Coturnix japonica: one gene and its partner. The protein of the gene in region 1 interacts with the protein of each later gene in a pairwise test. Links are inferred from orthologs where the notes say so. Each region holds a gene or a part of one and is shown on either strand. Other genes may lie near its edges.

Region 1 (9,190 bases):
GCCTCCAGGCCTCTTCACACACCTCGTTACACATAGTCTGTATTAAAATCATAGGCATCATCTTCACCTGCAGCCTTGTCTGAGCTGAACGACAGTGAGTTGGCAACTCTGCTTTCTGAGGAAAGGAAATGGTTTGTTAGTGAAATCAGTGCAAGTATTGAAGTGCTGCGGGTTGGGCTTCATGCTGCAGCTTTTAGCACAGACCTGCGATCTCACTTTCTGTTTGTCCCATTCCAAGCTCAGCATTCCTGGTCATCGGAGTCCTGCCATCCTGCAATGGGTTGGAGAGGTCAGAGATGTGAGTTTGGTCAGACAGCACTAATGAAACTTCCCATGTAAATATAGAGACTGAGGACAGTGTGGTTGTCCCAGTGTTCAGCTGCTGGTCAGTAACACACTGACTGACCTTGACCAACACTGCTCAGCCCTTATTTCTAGGGGTGCCTTGTGGTTACTCCGGGTGGCTCTGCAGTGTCTGCACGTTGCTTATAGCAGGACATTAACTGGCTACTTGTTGTCAGGGCCAAGCAGGTAGGAAACAAATGAAACCCAGGTTTACCTCTTTGATGTTATTTTCCTCCTCTTCTTCTTCCATAGTGTCTTGATCATCATCAGTTTCCATTAAATCTTCTTCCTCGTGGCTTATTTCCAAGTCCTCCCACTCCGATTCTTCTTCTTCCACCTTATCTTTCACTATTTTCCCATTAGTCATGCCAACTGCTTGGAAAACAATGCTGCTTGCTGGGCTGGGGTACTTTAGAGCTGGGAAATACATACAAAGCTGTCTGTTACATCTGCTGTTTGCATGAGATACGATGTCTCCCCATTAAAAGGAAATTATGTGCATTTCCACATAATCAGGGAGAGAAAGTAAGAACAAGAAGATTGCCATGGTGAAGAACTGGGTCCTGAGTGTAAGATGTACAGAACAGGAACATATTTTGTTGGTCTAACTTGGAAATGGGGCAGGGTAAGAATGGGACAGGGCCCATAAGCACTGGCTATTTAGAAAGGTTAAATCAGATAAGCAGAAACTGCAAATTGCTGGGGTAATCTAGCAGGGGTGATCTGTGTTAAGGCAGCACCCGAGTCTGCTGTGTTGTTGCATTGGAACCCATTTAATTCTCTAAAGGTTTGTGTTGGCTGCATGTAGACAAAACAGTTGTGTAAGTCCCAGGACAGCTTCCACTCGTGGTCTCCTATTACAGCTTCTACAACAGCCCTTGGTGGTAGCTGTGCAGTACCTTGAACTGTGCTGCTGTTTTCTTCTTCCAGCTTCTTTAAATTGAAGCCCACCTGCATTTCAGCTATTTTGTCTTCTGTCAGGTATGGCGGCAGGATCTGAGATGGGGGTGGTTCTGAGTGGTAGCTTATTTTAGCTCTGCAAAAACCAAAGATAACGTGGTCAAATCACCGTACTTCAGAATCAAACCCAGAGCCCACGCCTTCAGAACTCCTCAGCTGAACCACTCCTCCCATATTATCTGTTTAGCAGCAGTTAAACGACTGTTTAAGTTGGACTCAGCAGCTGTCAGTAACAGAATTAAGGATGGCCTGCTCTGAAGCACCTGAACAGCCTCAGCAAGTTCATTGCAACCTGTTCATCACTGGTTCTGAACTGATCCCTCCCATGCTCAGAAGAACACAGGAATCACTACAGGTTCAAAAAGGAAAAAAAAGTTGCAAGATTCCTTCTTGATGGAAGAGAGCACAACAGGAACAGAGAGCAGGGCCAGTTCTCCTCGTGGACTTACAGCAGGGCTCAGCAAACCCAGCCCAGAACTCCCCAGAATTTGCTTTGACTCTGTCTGTATTTTAGTATTTTAGCTAATTAGCCTTGGCTGCTGTCCTCTGTTGGCTGATCCAGTCTGACTGCTCCGAACAGCCACCAAAACTTCCCCTCCTTCCTGGAAGCCGTTCTCAGGACTCAGTTCTGCTGTCTGGTCACAGCAGATTTAACAAGGTCAAAATCAAAAAGCTCTGCAGCATAACTCAGAACTGGTGACATACGTACCCAGTCCAGTCACAAAGCAGTGACTTAGCCATGTTCTCTATGTCGGGAACGCCCCCTTTTTTCAGCATGCCCCTTTTCTGAGCAAGTAAACTTAAAAACTCTTCAGTGTTCCTGAAATCTGGGATGCTGTAGAACATCATCACCTAGAGCAAAGAAAGCAGTGCGGGAAGCGGTTATCACAGAGCTGGAACGGGGTCAGGCTTCTGTGAACATACTTGAAACCATAGAGTGAAATCAGAGTTGGATCTGAAGTCTTCATTGTAATAAGAAGCAATTAAAGTATCTTCATTTTTCACTCCATGACATCGTTGCCTGATGATACATTTACAGGCAGGTGCTTTGTTGGTGGATTTTTATTTTTTCTTTAAATCAGTGAATTCAGTGGGAAAACAAAGCAGCTGACAGACCCTGCTGTGCTGCTGCCATCGTCCAGGTACAAGGGTGGATGATCACACAGCACTGGATACACCCAGCCAAAGTTTGGTTAAAGAGAAGGCAGAGCAGAAGAACTATCCAAAGTGAAATGAACTTCCGTTATTGGCCTAAGAAACCTAGAGAGCAGTTGTAGGCTGTGGAAGAATGACAACAGAACTTACCTGCTGCTTATTGCAGTGATCCAGAATGGCATCTACTGCTTTCACCAGGTTCACTGAGCACAACTCCCCACCGTGTATGATGCTCCTCAGGGCCATTGTCACAGCGCTGTTGGTACGGTCTGCAACTATGCTTGGACTGTCTAAAATCTTCAGCTGTTTATCAATACGCACAACTTGCATGGACCTGATCAGAGAGAGAAACAGGCCACGTCTGAGGACAAATCAAACAGCAAAGGACTGAAAACAGTGAGGGAAGTGAACCACAAAGCTCAGCATTGGATTGAATGCACTTCATGCAGAGTCAGTTTCAGTGCTTTCTCATCATGTGCTTTGTGCTGGACAGAAATCCAAACGCGCAGTAAGAGCAAGTTTATGCATTGTATTCTCTTGTGGCAGCTGGCCAGGATGAACGATAAGGTTCTGAATGCTGCAGATTGAAACGCGCATTTAAAACTGAACTTAGGCATGTTCTGACTGCTCCTGGCGCACAGAAATTGTATACAACCAACTCAGGGTAATAAGGACAGGAAAACAAACAGCTGTTAACTCAGCTTACTTGGTGACACCTCTGGCTGGCCCAACATCACAAACACGATCTTTCTTAATGCTATTGATTACGCTGCTCTTCCCCACGTTAGGAAATCCTGGAAAAAAAGCACAAAAATCCTCGTAAATAAGAAAACTCAGCTTATTTACCAACTGGTCACGTGTTTCTGATCACATACATCTTCCATGTGAGATCAGAGTTGGATCTGAAGTCTTCATATAGAAGTCAGACAACGTCTGTATCCTCATTTCTCACATTTGCAATAGGAAGGATGTGAAAAACCTCACTGAATGTCACACCACAAACCTCACCCGATGGGAGGAGGAGGCAGTGGAGGCTGTGCGGTACGTAACTAAATCTGCTTTATCAGTTAAGGCCTCATAAAATGTGCATTCCACGGGTCACATACACTCTGCATTAAAGTACTGGACAGATCACTATCAGCTGAGGTGCTGTGAGTCTCAGCTGTAAATGAGAACACTGCCTACAAGACCCAGAAGCGAGTAACATGTTGGTTGTTTTACGCAGGATACCAGAGCTGTAATGGGAGGAAAAGGAAACTTCTACCATCTCTCCAAAGTCTTACCTACTAACCCAACCTGAATGGCTTTGTTCTGCGTCCTCCCGTACTCCTGAAGAAGTTTCACAAGGCACGTGCTTCCAAAGCTTTCAGTGTGTCTCGATAAATCAATCCGTGCTCTTCTTCTCGAGAAAGTCTGCTACAGGATTCAAAGGAACAAAACAAACATGGCAGAGTCTTACGTTTATTCATCTACTGTAACACGTCCAGCTCCTGTGCTTCATTTGCTGATGTTACTGTGTCAGGTGAACATTTCGTAGGACAGGTGAAGCACAATAATCAAATACAGGAAAAAGGAATTTTGAAGCACAAGAGATCCTGCTTCAACGTGTTTCAACACCTACAACTGCAGACACGTATGATTCAGTCACCTGAGGCAGCACACAGAGCTCTTACCATGTTCCTGTCCTTCAGCAGCGTCGCTGATTTAAAGGCAACTGTTGGAAATTCCTTCTTCAAATAATTCAACCACTTCTGTAAGTTTTCCTTTGGCACTAAATCTGGAAGAAGAGCACAGCCTTCTCACTGCTGTGAATGTTGTGTTGCTGTCTGGAGAAATCTAACGTGGAATCAGAAACCAGGATCTATTCTGTCCACTTGGTACATTTCTCTATGAAAACTGACTGAAAACTCCACGGCTCTTGTATTTATTTTTATGTAAACTTCCAGTGAACTATGAGCTGAGATCCCCAAAGGCACCCAGGGCTGCAGCTCCCAGGGCTGATTTTCTGCCCCAAGTGGAATGTACCACAGTTACGTTTTCAGACCCTTTGTTGGGGTTTTAATTTTGTAGCATCACAAACAGAGGCTGCGTGGTACAACGGGTGATGTTATGGCAGCAGAACCTCAGATTTCTGCACAGCTCACATAGAACAGAACCACCCAGCAACTAAACTTGAAGAAAATCTGCTTCTTACCAATTTTGTTCAGAACCAACAGTAGCTTTTTTTCTCCTCCAGAGCCAGCAACAGCTTGTTCCAGCTGGGGACAGCGACAGCCCATCGGATCCCTGGCATCTAAAACCTCCAGAAGCACATCTGACATCTCGATCACCTGCGTAAGGGGGAAAAATAAAGAGATTTTAAGTTGTTTCACTGCTTCTCATTAAATTACATAAAAACAGCTGAAGCATCTTACTTTCTCAAGCTCACTGTGAAATGACTTCTTTGCATTTTTATCCAGATCCTTCTTGGTCTTCTTTGCTTCAGATTTGCCAGAGGCTTCCTGCAAATTAAAGCAGAAAAGAAATGATTTAACTGAGAGTTACTGTACTGTATTTGTGTGCACACAGCCTATAGAGTCAACACAACACGAGACCAGTACAGGTGTGATTCTAGGACAGTATCTTTTGCTTCCACCAGCTTCAAGTCCTGATAATGGCAGCAGGCACCAACCTTCCCCTCGGTCTGTTCCTGGGCTGCAGCCGTGCTCCTCTTGGCGTCGAGCTTCCTCCTCCTCTCAAGCTCCTTCTGCCTTTCGAGCTTCTGCTTCTGCTTCAGTTCTTCCAGCTGATGGCGAACAAGGAAGGGGTCAATGCGGGTAAACACGTGTGCGGGTGGTGCGGGATGGCACCCTGCTGCACATGTGAACTGGTCTGTGTAAGAGATGCCGGTGCAGCTCAGCTGGACACACACACACACACACACAGATGGACACACACACACACACACACACACACACGGTCCCGCCTTTACCCGCTGTTTCCTGAGCTCGGCCTCCCTCAGCAGCTCCTCCTTGAACGGCGCCGTTCCGGGCACCCCCGGGTCCTTGCGGTTCTTCTTGCGGCCCCGTTTCTTGGCCTCTTTCCGCACCTTGCGGTGATGCTCCCGGATCTGGGCACACACACGGTCCGTCAGCGGGTCCCTGCAGCCCCGCCCCGCCCGGCCCGGCCCGGCCTCACCTTCTTCTGGATCTTGTACCGCTTGTGGCACGTCAGCCGCTTGCTCGCCTTCCTCAGCTCTAAGGAACAGCGCAGCGCCCGTCAGCCCCGCTCGGCCGCAGCATCCCATCCCATCCCATCCCATCCCATCCCATCCCATCCCATCCTCCCGTTCTATTCCATCCCGTCCAGTCCCGTTCCATCCCACCCCGTCCGTTCCCCCCGCTCCTCACTCGGTCTCTTCATGGCGGCCTCGTTCTCCCTCACGCGGTTCCTCCGTCCCTCCCCTTCCTCCCGCCGGTGTTGCTGCCGTAAAGCGAGGCGGCTCTTCCTGTTGGAGGTGTCGCGCTGCCGAGCGCGCTTTGCGGCCGGTCGGGCTGGGCGGCGTTGCGGGGCGTCAGGCCGCGTTGTGCGGCGCGGAGCGGAGCGGGGTCGGCGCCGTGTGCGGGGTGAGCGGCGCGGCGGGGCCGGGGGCGGCGCGGGTCGGGGTGCGGCGGGCTCCCTTCGAGTGCACGAGCGGCGCGAGGCGGCAGCGGGGCCGCCGTTCCCCGCCCCCACCCCCGTCGGGCCCGTCCCCGCCCGTTCCGCGCATTGAGGCCCCGCTGTGCCGGGGCCCGGCCGCGCTCGCGGGGTTCGGTGCCGTCCGAGCGGGAGCGGCCTTGGCCTTGTGGCGACCCGCCCCGACACAGCGCTTGTTCCCGCCGAGCGGCCCGTACTGTGCGGTGCTGTGCGGTGCGGTGCGGTGTGATGCGATGCGGTGCGGTGCGGTTCGGTGCAGTTCGGTGCGGTGCCCGAGCGCTGCGGGTTGAAGCCGCTTCCCCCGGGTTCGGTTCCGAACTAAGTTGTGTGAACCCAATGGTCGCGGTCGCTTTGCCACCGAACGGTCCCGTACGCGGGGCGGACAGTCGGCCCCGCACGCAGCTTGTAAATGGAAGCAGCTCTGTCTGTATGGGAGCCGTGTCCGGCCGCTCATCCCGACAATGATCCCGGTTCTCTCGCAGACATTCGTGGTTGTTGCGGCTGGTAACGCTGCTTGTGCCCGCACCAATTGCCGCCCTGTTGTGCTGCCCCGCATCCCCCGTTCGTGCCGTGCAGCTCCGCTCAGCTGTGCGCTCCCTGCTCCGCTCGGCGGGTCGTTGCTGTTCCGGTGGCTGTTCAGTACTGACTGCTGAGAAACGGATCAGAAACGAGGTGCTTTTTTTATCAGTAACTGTGACAGAAACGCCCCGTGTCCTGCACCCAGCGCTGCTCTGGGGGCTTCCTGCTAAGGATCAACAGCAAAAGTTACCTCCTGTTTCTTGCTTTGTCTGCCAACTTGAAATCCTCCGCTTATTCTTTGCCGTGAATAACCCGTCTGCTGTCAGCTCTCTCCTCTCTTTCCTTGTTCTTGTCTTCCAGCTCTGGCTGTACTAACAGCACTGACCTGCTGCTCTGGGTGTCCCCTTCTCCCACTATCTGTGCTTGCCCACCAGGCACGATGAGGAGACTGGCTTTTCGAGGTGCTGGTTGTACTCTGGTAAATCTGGTAAATTATTGATCCAATGTACACCACGCTCTCCATTCTTCTGCATTAAGGCTTTCCCTACCTGTTTATTATTCCTGCCTTGTTCTTATTCATCTAATTTGTGCTCCAGATTAATTCTGTTGCTAGCGTAAATGCTCTCGTGCAGTCATGTTGTACTGCTGTGCCTTGTAGCTCCCCAGCAGATTCCTTGACTTGGTGTAGGCTGGGGTAGATGGATCTGTTCTGTCCTTTGAGTTAGCTACAAGTGGAGGTGTTGTTATGGTGCTGTCACCAACCTGGGGAAGAGCCAGCAACGTGATCCATAATGTCCATAGCTGCTGGACAGTGGCTGTTCATTTATGCTGCTGGACAGTGGCAATCCATTTGTCACTGCTACGTTGATAAAATAGAAACTGTGACCAAAACATTAGGTGGATTTTTCTGCTTCTTGATCACAGAATCACAGAATTACCCGGGTTGGAAGGGACCTCAAGCATCATGTAGTTCCAACCCCCCTGCCTAGCAGGGCCACCAAACATACACATTGATGATTGAGCCATTCATTCATGTTACACACGAGCTGGGAGTTGTCACACAACAACCGAGCCCTTTTGTAGCTTGAATGTAAGGCAAGGTATTCAGCAGCAGTTCGTGTTCTAGGTGGTCATTTGTCTTTTTCATGGCATCCTTGTCATTTTTTTTGTGTTGGTTTTATAATTTGAGACAGAATGAAGTGCTTTTCTCCATAAGACTCTTTCCTATAAAGCAGTTCTCATATAGGAATCATGCATGGCTCGAGGAACCAAAATGTAAATGCTTTCAGAACGTGTCCTGGTAAATCTGCTGAATCCATCTTTGTGTCTGTCAGCCCTTGGTTCCTGATGTTGGTGTTGGTGGTGGCAGTGTAAATCTGCAGGGCCATTTTGCCTTCCCTTTACTCCCAGTGCACGTCTGGTGTTTGCATGTGGCTTAACTGAACTGTGTATATAGGAAACACGTGTGACCCATTGCAAAACATAGCTCACTTAGTAGCTCGCTCCCATCAGAGGGTTTGGTTGCAATGCCAAGAGTTTAAGAACATTTCTTTCATTATAGAAGAAGTTGGATTCCATGGGTTCCAAGAGGCGAAGAGCAACCTCGCCGTCCAGCAGCGTCAGCGGAGGAGACTTTGATGATGGCCACCACTCCACGAATATCCCGGGCCCCAGCAGGAAGAGAAGGAGGCTTTCCAATCTCCCAACCGTGGATCCTGTTAGTACCTTCTTGTTACACACACCTTTATATTTTTCTTGTGGGTTAACTGTATTCTTGTCCCGGAAATGCTGGATTGTGAGATAAAAGTGGAGAACAGCTCTTCAATATGTGCTGGAATATACAGTGTCATTGTTATGTCTTTGAGTTAGCGGTTTAATTTTAATAGGACCTCTGTCATGGTTTTACATGTCTGTAACTCAAAGAGCGTTGTCCTAAATCAGTCTGCATTTGGAATGTTCTGCTTAGGGTTAGTATTGAAAGAAAGTTCACTCTATTAAATCAGACAATACAAAACAAAAACCAAACAGCCAACCCTAACATTCTGCAGTACCTGACGTGCTACGTATCGCACTAATGCACAGCGTGCACAAGTTCTTCACTCATTGCACATGAGCAGCTTGCCTTCCCCTTCTTGTTTTAAGCTGATCTTGATTTTTTATCTCTTCCAAATCTACTTATTTTTTCTTGCATTGTTCTTGAATTTTAGATTGCTGTATGTCATGAACTTTACAACACCATCAGAGATTACAAAGATGAACAGGGCCGGCTGCTTTGTGAGCTTTTCATTAGAGCACCGAAACGAAGGTGAGGCCGTGGTTCTTGTCAAGCCTTGGATTTAAGGAATGTTTCAACATTAATTACAGTTGAAATATAAAAAAAAAAATCATCTATATTCATCAGAGTGTCACAGCAATGCGTGATGATGTATTTGTTGTAATTGTTTGGCGGTACCTGCTGGTTTAGTTGTCTCTGTATCTAAACTTTCTGCTTGGAATATAATGCCTGGTTTTGTCATTACCACAGAAATCAACCGGA
Region 2 (9,406 bases), on another chromosome or scaffold:
CCTGCTTGCTGCTTCAGCACCACAGAGAACAATTAAGTTTTGCTACAAGGCCATAGACAGGACTATTTTCCTCATTTATATCCTAGACTCTCTAGTATTTTATACAGAAATCTACTCTGGGATTGTGGAAGAGCAATGCCACATGCATATCTATGAACCACATTCCTGTGTTCCTATTTAAACCAAAGGTCCATTTCACTCAGTGATTAGATGACTGGAAAAACCTGATACATTAACTGTTCTGTCCCTAAGAAAGCTGTTATTTTAATACAAATTCAAGCCGATACATACACGTTCAAATAAAGCATTAAATCTCTGCAGCTGTGAAGTTGTTTTGTTTTATTTTTACCACCAGATGGCACTGAAGGGCAGACAACTTTGAACACCGGGCATCTAAACCCCTTCCCATAGGCTCACACATTTTATACCCTTTCTTACCCAAAGTCCTGTCACTACCATCACCTTTATCAGACTGAAACAGCAAGGCATAATCCATGTGTAGGAACAAATATGTGCTTGATGCCCAACACCCATACATAAAGCTACCACAGCCTACTGCACATGGCACACAGGTGGTTAAGAACCACTCAGCACTTGCCACTCCTGGCTGAATAAAGAGCTCTAAGACTGCTCTTCACAGGTGAAAAGGGTCACATGTATTATTCAAAATAACAAATGGACCACTTACTTTCTTCATTGGTGTTTTAATCTCTTCCTCATCATCATCCAAGTCGTCTTCATCACTACAATTAGAAATTTGTCATTCACCATAAACTGTTTTAACAGGTAACATGCTGCTAAGTAAAATACTCTACTTACCAACGGTGCAGTTAAATATACTGCCTTCTACTTCAATGCTCAAGGTGCAAACCTTACAGTTATCAATACTACAATAAGGAAATCCTAAATCTATAGAAAGTTACCAAACTACACAAGGCTGATTTTCCCAACCAAAAATTACATCTTTGAGTAACACTAATTTAAATTATGTTTGGAAATAAATTTAAGCTAATTCTTTTCCTATAGTGAAGGCCAAGAAGCACCTTGCTCACTTAATACCTATAGATACATCACACAACTCATACTCCAAGTGATGCCTCTATTTCAAAACAAAAATACATACTCATCATCATCATCCTCATCTTCATCGTCATCCTCGTCATCTTCTGATAATTTTGCTTTTTTCTTGGAAAAAGAAATAGTATGTTAAGCATCAATACCATATTAAGCCTTAAAAGACAGCAACCTCTTCTTCCATGTAATTTGTGTCCTAAGAACAATTTATCTAAAAAATTAACACACAGAGCTGCCCAATCAAACGCTATGAAACAGCAAGAATGGCCACATCAATCCTTTATGCTATACCAGTGTTTGAACAGTATACTGAAAGAGTTTGAGTTTAAGTGCAGTTACTGCAGTGGTCAAAGTAACCTTTAAATTAGCCCATCCAGCTTTGGAAACAAGCTGTATTTAACAGCACTTTTCTAAGTTAGTACCTGTCAAGACCCATGTACAAAGCAAACCTCTCCAACACTAATTTAATAACTAACTGCTCACTTCCAAGGCAGAATGAATACACTGAAGCAAAACAGAACTATGCAATCTGACTGGGAGTGTACCTGTGGTGTTTTAGCTCCTCCTCCACTTGCTGGTCTCTTTGTAGAAGCATTCACGATTTTTGTATCCTCTTCCTCGTCCTCTGATTCTGGTTCTTCCTCTAATGCTGATAAAATGATGGCAATGTTTAAAACATCCACCTTGTTAACAATAGCATAAGCAAGATGACACCACTCAAGCTCACAGATCCTCAGGCAGCAGTGGGAACTTCCCAATACCGATGCCTCCTTATAAATAGCAGACTGCTTTAGCATCAGTGGCATGCAGGTTTATTACATTGAGTTGTAAAAATCCCTTTGTTTTGCAAATGAATGAATAGTTTTGAACATCAGTAACCAGAGCAATACATACCTACAAGATGCTGACCGCTGACATAAACAGGCCCCGAACCACATTTCAACCTCAAAACAACTGGTGGTGTGATCTCAAATCCACCTAGTGAAACCTAAGGGAGAAAAGCAAAGTGTGTTCAACAGGTAATCCATCCAAATTAAACCAACTACGCCAACATCTGGAGATTAATAACTTAACACACCAACCACACTCTTCAAGCTGAGAGAATATTCCAGAAGCATTTGGAATTAGTTCAGGGTCAAAGTGCAGCAATAGCACTGTTTTTATAACATGGTGATGGTGTATCATAATTAAAACATGCTTTTTAAAGCCAGACCAATCCACAATTGTCTTTGCATGTGGGTGCATCTATATGTGATTGTATAGGACAACATGTAAAATTAGTACAATATATTAGTAAAATGTAGTATTTTTAAAATGTGTAAATTGACTCAAAGCCTGTCAATTGCCTGTGACTACAGCAAGCCAAGGAAAAAAAAAATATATATATATATATAGATTTAGCTTGTATTCACTACATCTGTGAATCCACTAAGCACTATGACAGATCAATACAATTTGGGCAGCCTAAACCCTCTTCTAATATACCCACCTCACCTGAGACCCAATTTGTAATAGACTGTTCCAAGTCCATTTACTTACTGTAGGCTGCACAGACATTTTCAGAGATGCCAGTACTACTTTAGTAGGGTTGCCTTCGTAGTCCAGTGCTTCTGCTTCTACAACATGTAATTCGTCTTTGGCTCCAGGCCCTAATGTAACCTGTGAAGTAAAGAACAGTGCACATCCTAAGAACACTCTTCAGTATCTGAAGTCCTTTAAATTGTGTTTGCAGTTCTGCACACAAAGATTGACATTTGTATCTGCGAATACTAATAGCTGAGTCACACTCCTCCCCAAAACCACCACCTCTCTTCCCATAGCACTCGCTTGTACAGTGTGTGATTCCAGACAATTGGTGTAGTGAACTTATAGACTTATTGCTTTCAAGGAGGAGGGGGTGTCAGTGACAAGTCCAGACAGCACCGTAACAGTCCCATGTGAAGAAGCACACATACATGGCTACAGGAAGATAAAACAGCTGCTATTATTACCAGAGAAACACAGCCTCGATACTTTTCCCTTCCTTTACAGCTACTTCTCTGTCAAGTTCTCACTGCAACACCACACTGTGTTGTTTACTTTAAGTTCAAGGAGAGTTTAAGTCTCAGCGCTGCTGAGTTCAGAGCTTTTCTTTTAGGCACGAGCCTTCTGCATTAACCCACCAAGTACTGAGCGCTGTCATCCTAGTGCATCTCAGACTCAAGTACCTTGATTCCTTACACCACATACAAGACAGGCACGTTCCAATAACTTGAAAATTGTAGCTTGAAGGTAGCAAACAAGTGACAGACATAAACCAGGCCAGAAATTCCAGTTTTCTGAACCTCTGGCATCTGAGTCAGAGTTATATGCAAGTCCTCTGAAAACCAAGAACTTCCTCAAGTACTACAATTATCTCTGAGGCAAGCAAACATGGCTTACTGCATCCCTTCCCAACAGCCATGAGAAGAAAGCTTCTCACTCTTCATGAATTAAGTGTGTAAGCACTTCACAAAGACAGTGGCATGCTCAAGCTTCCATTCCCTATGACATGTGTTTTAAGCAAGTGATCACAATCTAGGCAAAGCACATCAAATGAAGACTAAGAAACAGGATGTAGGCTCCACTACATGAGGCAATGTTTTATCATGTGAATTAGAAGCAGTGATATTGGTGCTCTGATCTCACCTCTCAAATGGATCCGCACTACAATCAGCTGGTGGGACTGCCCACTAGGATGAGAATTTCATTTTAAAGCATGTCCTCCCTGCCCACAGCTACCTACCCCTGCCATCTATACCAGTTCAACCAATATTATAGTAACTAAGATACATTTCTTTACTGAGTGGCTGGCAGGCATCCATTTACATGTCTTGCCTTCTACACCAAAGTTAGACTAAACAATAAGGGGAAGGAGGCAGCAACCACTCCACTAGCTAAGTGAGCCTAAAGATGTAAGTTAACCCTCATACAACTTTCTACCTCTACACACATCAGTGCTCCTCCCCTTTCATTTTCATCCTTCTTTGTCCTCCCTTCCCCTCCCTCCCCAGCACAAATTCAGCCAGAGACTTAAATTACACGTGTCTACCTTTATTCATTTATACTTTCATCCTGAGCACAGACACAGTGTTTACAAGAGTCATGCTTTATCTTCCAGAACCTCCTTACCCTGCTTAATAAGCCATCTCTTCCTTGTAGATTCTTTTAAGAGATGCCAAGCTTAAGACATTACTAACCTGTTATTTCAATCCCCATCATTCTTTTTGGTCATCTTTTTAGTTTAAAAATCATGCTGCTGAATAAGACTTTTTTTCCCCACATGGGAAAAAATGGCCTAAAACTACATTCTGCTAAGCATAGAATCTGCTCCATGCTCAATGAAGACCCCCCCAGTCCATCAGGAGATGCTACAGCTCACTTCTAAAGTGAGAATCTTTAGACAAATCCACACAACTGAAGTATCACCATGTGACAATTCTTACTTTGTTACAGCCATACAGGTATGAGAACCACCTGCATCAACCTTCTCAAAGAACTTCCCTCAAAACAAACTCTAAAGGGCCGACAATTGTGTCTAAATTGCTCGTTGTCAAGTCCAGACTGTAATATCCGTGAAACAAAAGGGTGAAGACGTGACTCACACAACTAATGTTGAAGTGAAAGCATCCTAAGTATCGTTCTGATAAGGCTGTGCATTGAACAACATTAACATCCAAATCTCCTGCAAGGAGCAATTCTCACTTCTAGCTTAATTTTTTCTTTTACATTAAGGTGTAACCTTCATGTTTAAATATAAGTGAAAATGCAGAGGCACCACGACTTCCTTGGCTGGGAGCTACAAACTCATTGCAAGTTAAGTTGCATCACCTTGTATTAGTGATGAGGAAAACAACACAAGCATGCTCAGCCTTGAGCCAAGGCCCCAAAATACTGTGCCCTGCTCAATGCCACAGGCCCCAAAAAGATCCAAGTCCACACATTATTAGCAGTTTGTGGGGAAAAAAGCCCAGAAATTACAACTGGGGAGTATATGAAAGATCCATTTCAAAGTAAAGTTCCTGTGCTCTGCTGCAATGTGCCCTCTATGATTAATCTAAGTCTTCCCCTCCTCGTGCTCCTGGAACAACTGAATATTGCACTCAATGTCAGCTCCAACTCTCGATTCCTTCCAATAAACATTTATTAACTCACTGGACATAGGTTACCATATTCTCAAGCTTGTATTACTTGTAATAGCCCACAAAACATCGGTACTTATTTAAAGATAAATCAGTTCAATGCAGTGAGTTTACACACCACATTGGCCTTCTCACAGCAACCACGCAGCACTACTTGAAAACCCCACCTCAGAACTCGAAAAGTAGGAAAACAAAAGCTACTTACCGTTCTCAAGGACAACTGATGCTCGTTCTCTTCATCATCTACTTTGAACTGATACTCCTTCTCCGCTTTAAGCTCACAGCCTGTAATGAAGAGTGAGCAGACGACAGAGAACGATGAGCCTCATGGCCAACCTCCCCCGTTACTCCATAGCCCCAACGTTTAGGACACATCCACGTTTAGGACACGTGCTGTGTTAGGCCCAGACCTACGGCCGACCACGCGGCCGCTCTGCAGGCCGCTCCCCTCCCGGTGCAGGCCGCATCTCACCCCCCCCCCCCCCACATACTCCATGTGTGCTGCAATGGCCGCAGGTCCCCGCACGCCGCTCCACGTGCTCAGGGTCTGAGGAACAAAAGGGCCGCATCGCCACCACATACGGAGCGGAACCGGATCGGAACCGGAGCGGAACCGGAGCGGCCCAACGCTCAGCGCTGCCCCGCGGCCTCCTCCGCCTCCTCCCACTCCAATGCGGCCCAACGGGAGCCCCCTCAGGCCCAAGGCCCAACCAACCGCCTCCACCGCGCCCTACAGCCCCCAGCACAGCGTGGGGAGCCGATCCCGTTACCGAAGAGGAAGGTCTGCGGGCGCAGCGGCCCCATGCTCTCCATGTCCATAGCGCTGTCCTCCATGTTCTCGGCCTGCTCTCTCGGCTGGATCTGTGCACGATGCGGCGCGGCGGGCGGACAAGCACTAAAGGAAGCCCCGCGCCCGCCCCCCTCCTATATATAGCCCGCGTGTTCTCGCGAGATCCTCGGCCGTGGAGGAGGGTCGTGATTGTGGTTGTGGGTGATGTAAACGGGGCGGATACAAAATGGAGGCGGTGTGTGGGATGTGATGTCACCCCATTCATTTCCAACGTGTCCTTCGTGCTCCTCATCCCTGTGTACATGTTCTAACAGTACCAACCGGTCCCGTTACCAAATCCCGTTAGCAAATCCCGTTACCGAGATGTACAAATGCAGTGCTTTGTGCTGGGACTGCTAAAACACCACAAATGTGGTGTGAATGAGGATTAATTTATTAGGGCTGCATGGACCACGAGCTGCATCCATTGCAGTGTCAAATCTGAGCTTGCTAAAAGGCATTTTTAAGTTAAAGGGGATAAAGATAAAGTGTGTGCTGCTCCACATGGATGCAAGACAAGAGCAACACCTGACCCACCATTGCATTTGCTGCCCACCATGAGATGGATGCCAAGCAAATTCGGTTCCTTTAAGCTGGTCACAAAGCCAGATGGGTATGGAAAGACAGGAGAAGTCTAGGGGGAAGTTCTTTACTAGGAGAGTGGTGAGGCCCTGGAACAGGCTGCCCAGGGAGGCTATGGATGCCCCGTCCTTGGAGGTGTTCAAGACCAGGTTGGACGGAGCCATGGGCAACCTGATCTAGTAAAGGTGTATGTTTGGTGGCCCTGCCAGGCAGGGGGGTTGGAACTACATGATCCTTGAGGTCCCTTCCAACCCGGGTCATTCTGTGATTCTGTCAAATGTGATTCCCTGTCAAAGGGAAGCAGTGCAGCCCCAGAACGTTCCTCTTCAGACCGAGTCACTTTTAATTCAATTACACCCATCCATTACCGAGGAAATAAATGCGGGAGGAAACAAAGGACAGACGCAGGGAAGCAAAAACAGGGGTAGCAAGTAGGAGATATATGCTTACTGCATCTCGTTTGGCTCCATGGGGCTTAAGAAGGGCTGTCATATATCACGACATTTATTATTCCTTCCATGTACTAGGATGAGAAGTCCATTACAATATCGATCATTTTATTCTGCTCAACCGTATGCCATCTAATATTCAGCATAGCTGAAAAAGCTTAGGAGTGATTTAGAAATAGCTGCACTGGGAGAAGTGAGGAAGAAATCGGAGTCAACGTGGTTTCCCTTAATGGAATTCTCTTTCTAGGAGGCTTTTACAAAACTTAGGAAATCACATTTCGAACACGGTTAAAGCCACAGCATGGCTTATGTTACAGACATAAGATAGATTTCCTATGCAATCTCAGTTTGCATGCTGATGTGATGATACAACCTTCGTGTACCTGTCATGTACCCCTCCACAGTTCGTGCCCTAGAGAACTCCAGGGGAAGATCTTAAAAGGCACCAGAACTTACCCTTCCTTGATGTCAGAAATAACACCTACAGACCTGAAAGTCCATGTGTTTCCATTGAACTGAGTGACACAGGTGATGCTGTCACTAGGACACTGCTATCAGTACCTGGTGGCATCCCAGCTCTGAACTGTTCTGCAGCCACGGATCCTCTCAGCCTCACCTCCTTACTGCAGCCTTTGGATCCTCTGATCCTGTCATGGGTGGCACTGGGAGTTTTCTTTGTTCTCCTTTAGTATATAGTCTATTTCATGCAGGCTTTGCCTGTAGCACGTTGTTTATGCAGAGCAGCCCAAGGCCTGCATCAGAAGGTCCTTCAGTGCTGGAGAAAGCTGTGTGCTGGAGGGAAGCCAAGGGCGGCTGATAACCAAGCCTGCATGCTAATGGCAGCATCTGCTGCTGCTGCTCCATCTCCTCTGAAGCCTCTCATTTTGCTTCCAAGGGATCCATTATTTGTTAGGGCCCCATTTCAGAGATCTGCCTCAAAAATGGAGGAATATCCACAAAACAGACACTCAGGTGTCACAAAGTTACACAGGTAAATCACACCTGGCATTACTATCAAGGCATTAAAGCCTGAGCTCACCCGAAGTTTCTCCTTATTTCTTTATTAAATACCCTAAAAGCCGTTCCAGTGTGTACAGAGCCTAATCATTTGGAATGAATGAGCCCTGAGCACGAAATAACTGGCTCAAAGTTAGTCCCTTTATATAAAGAAAGGAATTTAAACTGTACAGTGAGCTTTTGTGCATGCAGACAAGGGTCAGATATGGCTCTGCTCATGCCCAGATGGGTTTATGTGCCTGGATCTCGTATGTGCTCAGATCTCACCAAATGCCCTTGCCCCATTAAAGGGTCTGCAGTGCCTCCCACTGGGTTCTCATTTGCTGTCGTGTACTACTGCTATATCTGCTTCCAGCTGCCAACATTACTCTGCTTGTTAAACTAATGAACCCAGTCCTGAGGTGATGCTCCACATCGGTGCAGATGTGCGTGAGCTCTCCTGACCAAGGCATCAGTCAGTGACCAAAGACGTGGAGAGTGGAGGGGACAGATGGCACTCCACATAAAGCAGCCTGTTCTGGTGGTCATTTTTCACTGCTACTTATTCTGCTTTGGTTTTACAATAATGCACTCGCACTGCTTCTGCGGGTTCTGAGTAAGGGAGAGCTAAAGCTGCAAGGTGGGCCCACAGAGTGCATGTGTCCAGGTCCTGAGTTTCCTGTGTTAGATGCACTCTACAGCTGCATCTGAATATCAGGACCCCAAGGATGGACCCATCTGCTGTTCAAGAGGCAGATAGGGTGCAGTCAGTCCGACACAATGATGGGCTGATGCTCTGGATAAGAGCTTCAGGAGTGAAATTTCATCCTCTCAAAGCTGTCTGCTCTCGTATTAAGATCAACAGCACCACCTAGTGATCCCAAATCAGCTTCTGTTACCTGCCTGCCTCATCCCCTGCGTTTCATGCGTTGCTCCAGGTCTCCCAAGGTTTCCCTGTTTCTCCCCACCTCCAGCACTGATGCTCGAGGGTTGCTTAGAAGAAGGTATTGCACGGTGGAGGCTGGGAGCACTCAGACATAGACCTCCAGATTGAGGATGAGGTGATCCTAATCAGCTCACAGACCAAGAAACACCACTGAGCTGTGAGCTGGACCCCATTTGGGGGTCCACAGCTTCCACATTCAAACTAAACCTCTTGAGGGAAAGAAATAGTCTCTCCTTATTCATCCCTTGGTTCTCTCCTGGGCTTGACCTTGCCCACATGTTGTTTAAACCATGCAATGGAAGGACCTCAAGAGCATCAGTCAGAGGCCATGCTTTGTTCCCAAACCCCCACTGGTACGTGATGATGATTT

The links.
Region 2: the proteins of GNL3 (region 1) and NPM1 interact in a two-hybrid assay, tested with the Homo sapiens proteins (2 studies listed by BioGRID, with this or other methods). The link is inferred for Coturnix japonica from reciprocal best matches to the Homo sapiens genes GNL3 and NPM1.

The regions. Positions count from the first base shown.
Region 1 is NC_029527.1:378,746-387,935, reverse strand, and holds the start of GNL3 (guanine nucleotide-binding protein-like 3), read right to left. Parts: upstream 5,946-9,190; 5' UTR 5,863-5,945; coding exon 5,850-5,862; intron 5,697-5,849; coding exon 5,638-5,696; intron 5,570-5,637; coding exon 5,432-5,569; intron 5,246-5,431; coding exon 5,132-5,245; intron 4,962-5,131; coding exon 4,875-4,961; intron 4,791-4,874; coding exon 4,655-4,790; intron 4,238-4,654; coding exon 4,134-4,237; intron 3,877-4,133; coding exon 3,744-3,876; intron 3,411-3,743; exon of another isoform or gene 3,338-3,410; intron 3,255-3,337; coding exon 3,167-3,254; intron 2,948-3,166; exon of another isoform or gene 2,870-2,947; intron 2,795-2,869; coding exon 2,611-2,794; intron 2,309-2,610; exon of another isoform or gene 2,236-2,308; intron 2,158-2,235; coding exon 2,015-2,157; intron 1,382-2,014; coding exon 1,245-1,381; intron 763-1,244; coding exon 560-762; intron 272-559; coding exon 205-271; intron 116-204; coding exon 27-115; 3' UTR 1-26. Other genes in the region: PBRM1 (protein polybromo-1), read left to right, coding at 7,094-7,141, 8,216-8,371, 8,862-8,959, 9,179-9,190. UniProt on the Homo sapiens protein: May be required to maintain the proliferative capacity of stem cells. Stabilizes MDM2 by preventing its ubiquitination, and hence proteasomal degradation.
Region 2 is NC_029528.1:13,568,675-13,578,080, reverse strand, and holds the start of NPM1 (nucleophosmin), read right to left. Parts: upstream 6,155-9,406; 5' UTR 6,069-6,154; coding exon 6,005-6,068; intron 5,520-6,004; coding exon 5,440-5,519; intron 2,734-5,439; coding exon 2,614-2,733; intron 2,063-2,613; coding exon 1,969-2,062; intron 1,724-1,968; coding exon 1,620-1,723; intron 1,186-1,619; coding exon 1,124-1,185; intron 744-1,123; coding exon 689-743; intron 1-688. UniProt on the Homo sapiens protein: Involved in diverse cellular processes such as ribosome biogenesis, centrosome duplication, protein chaperoning, histone assembly, cell proliferation, and regulation of tumor suppressors p53/TP53 and ARF.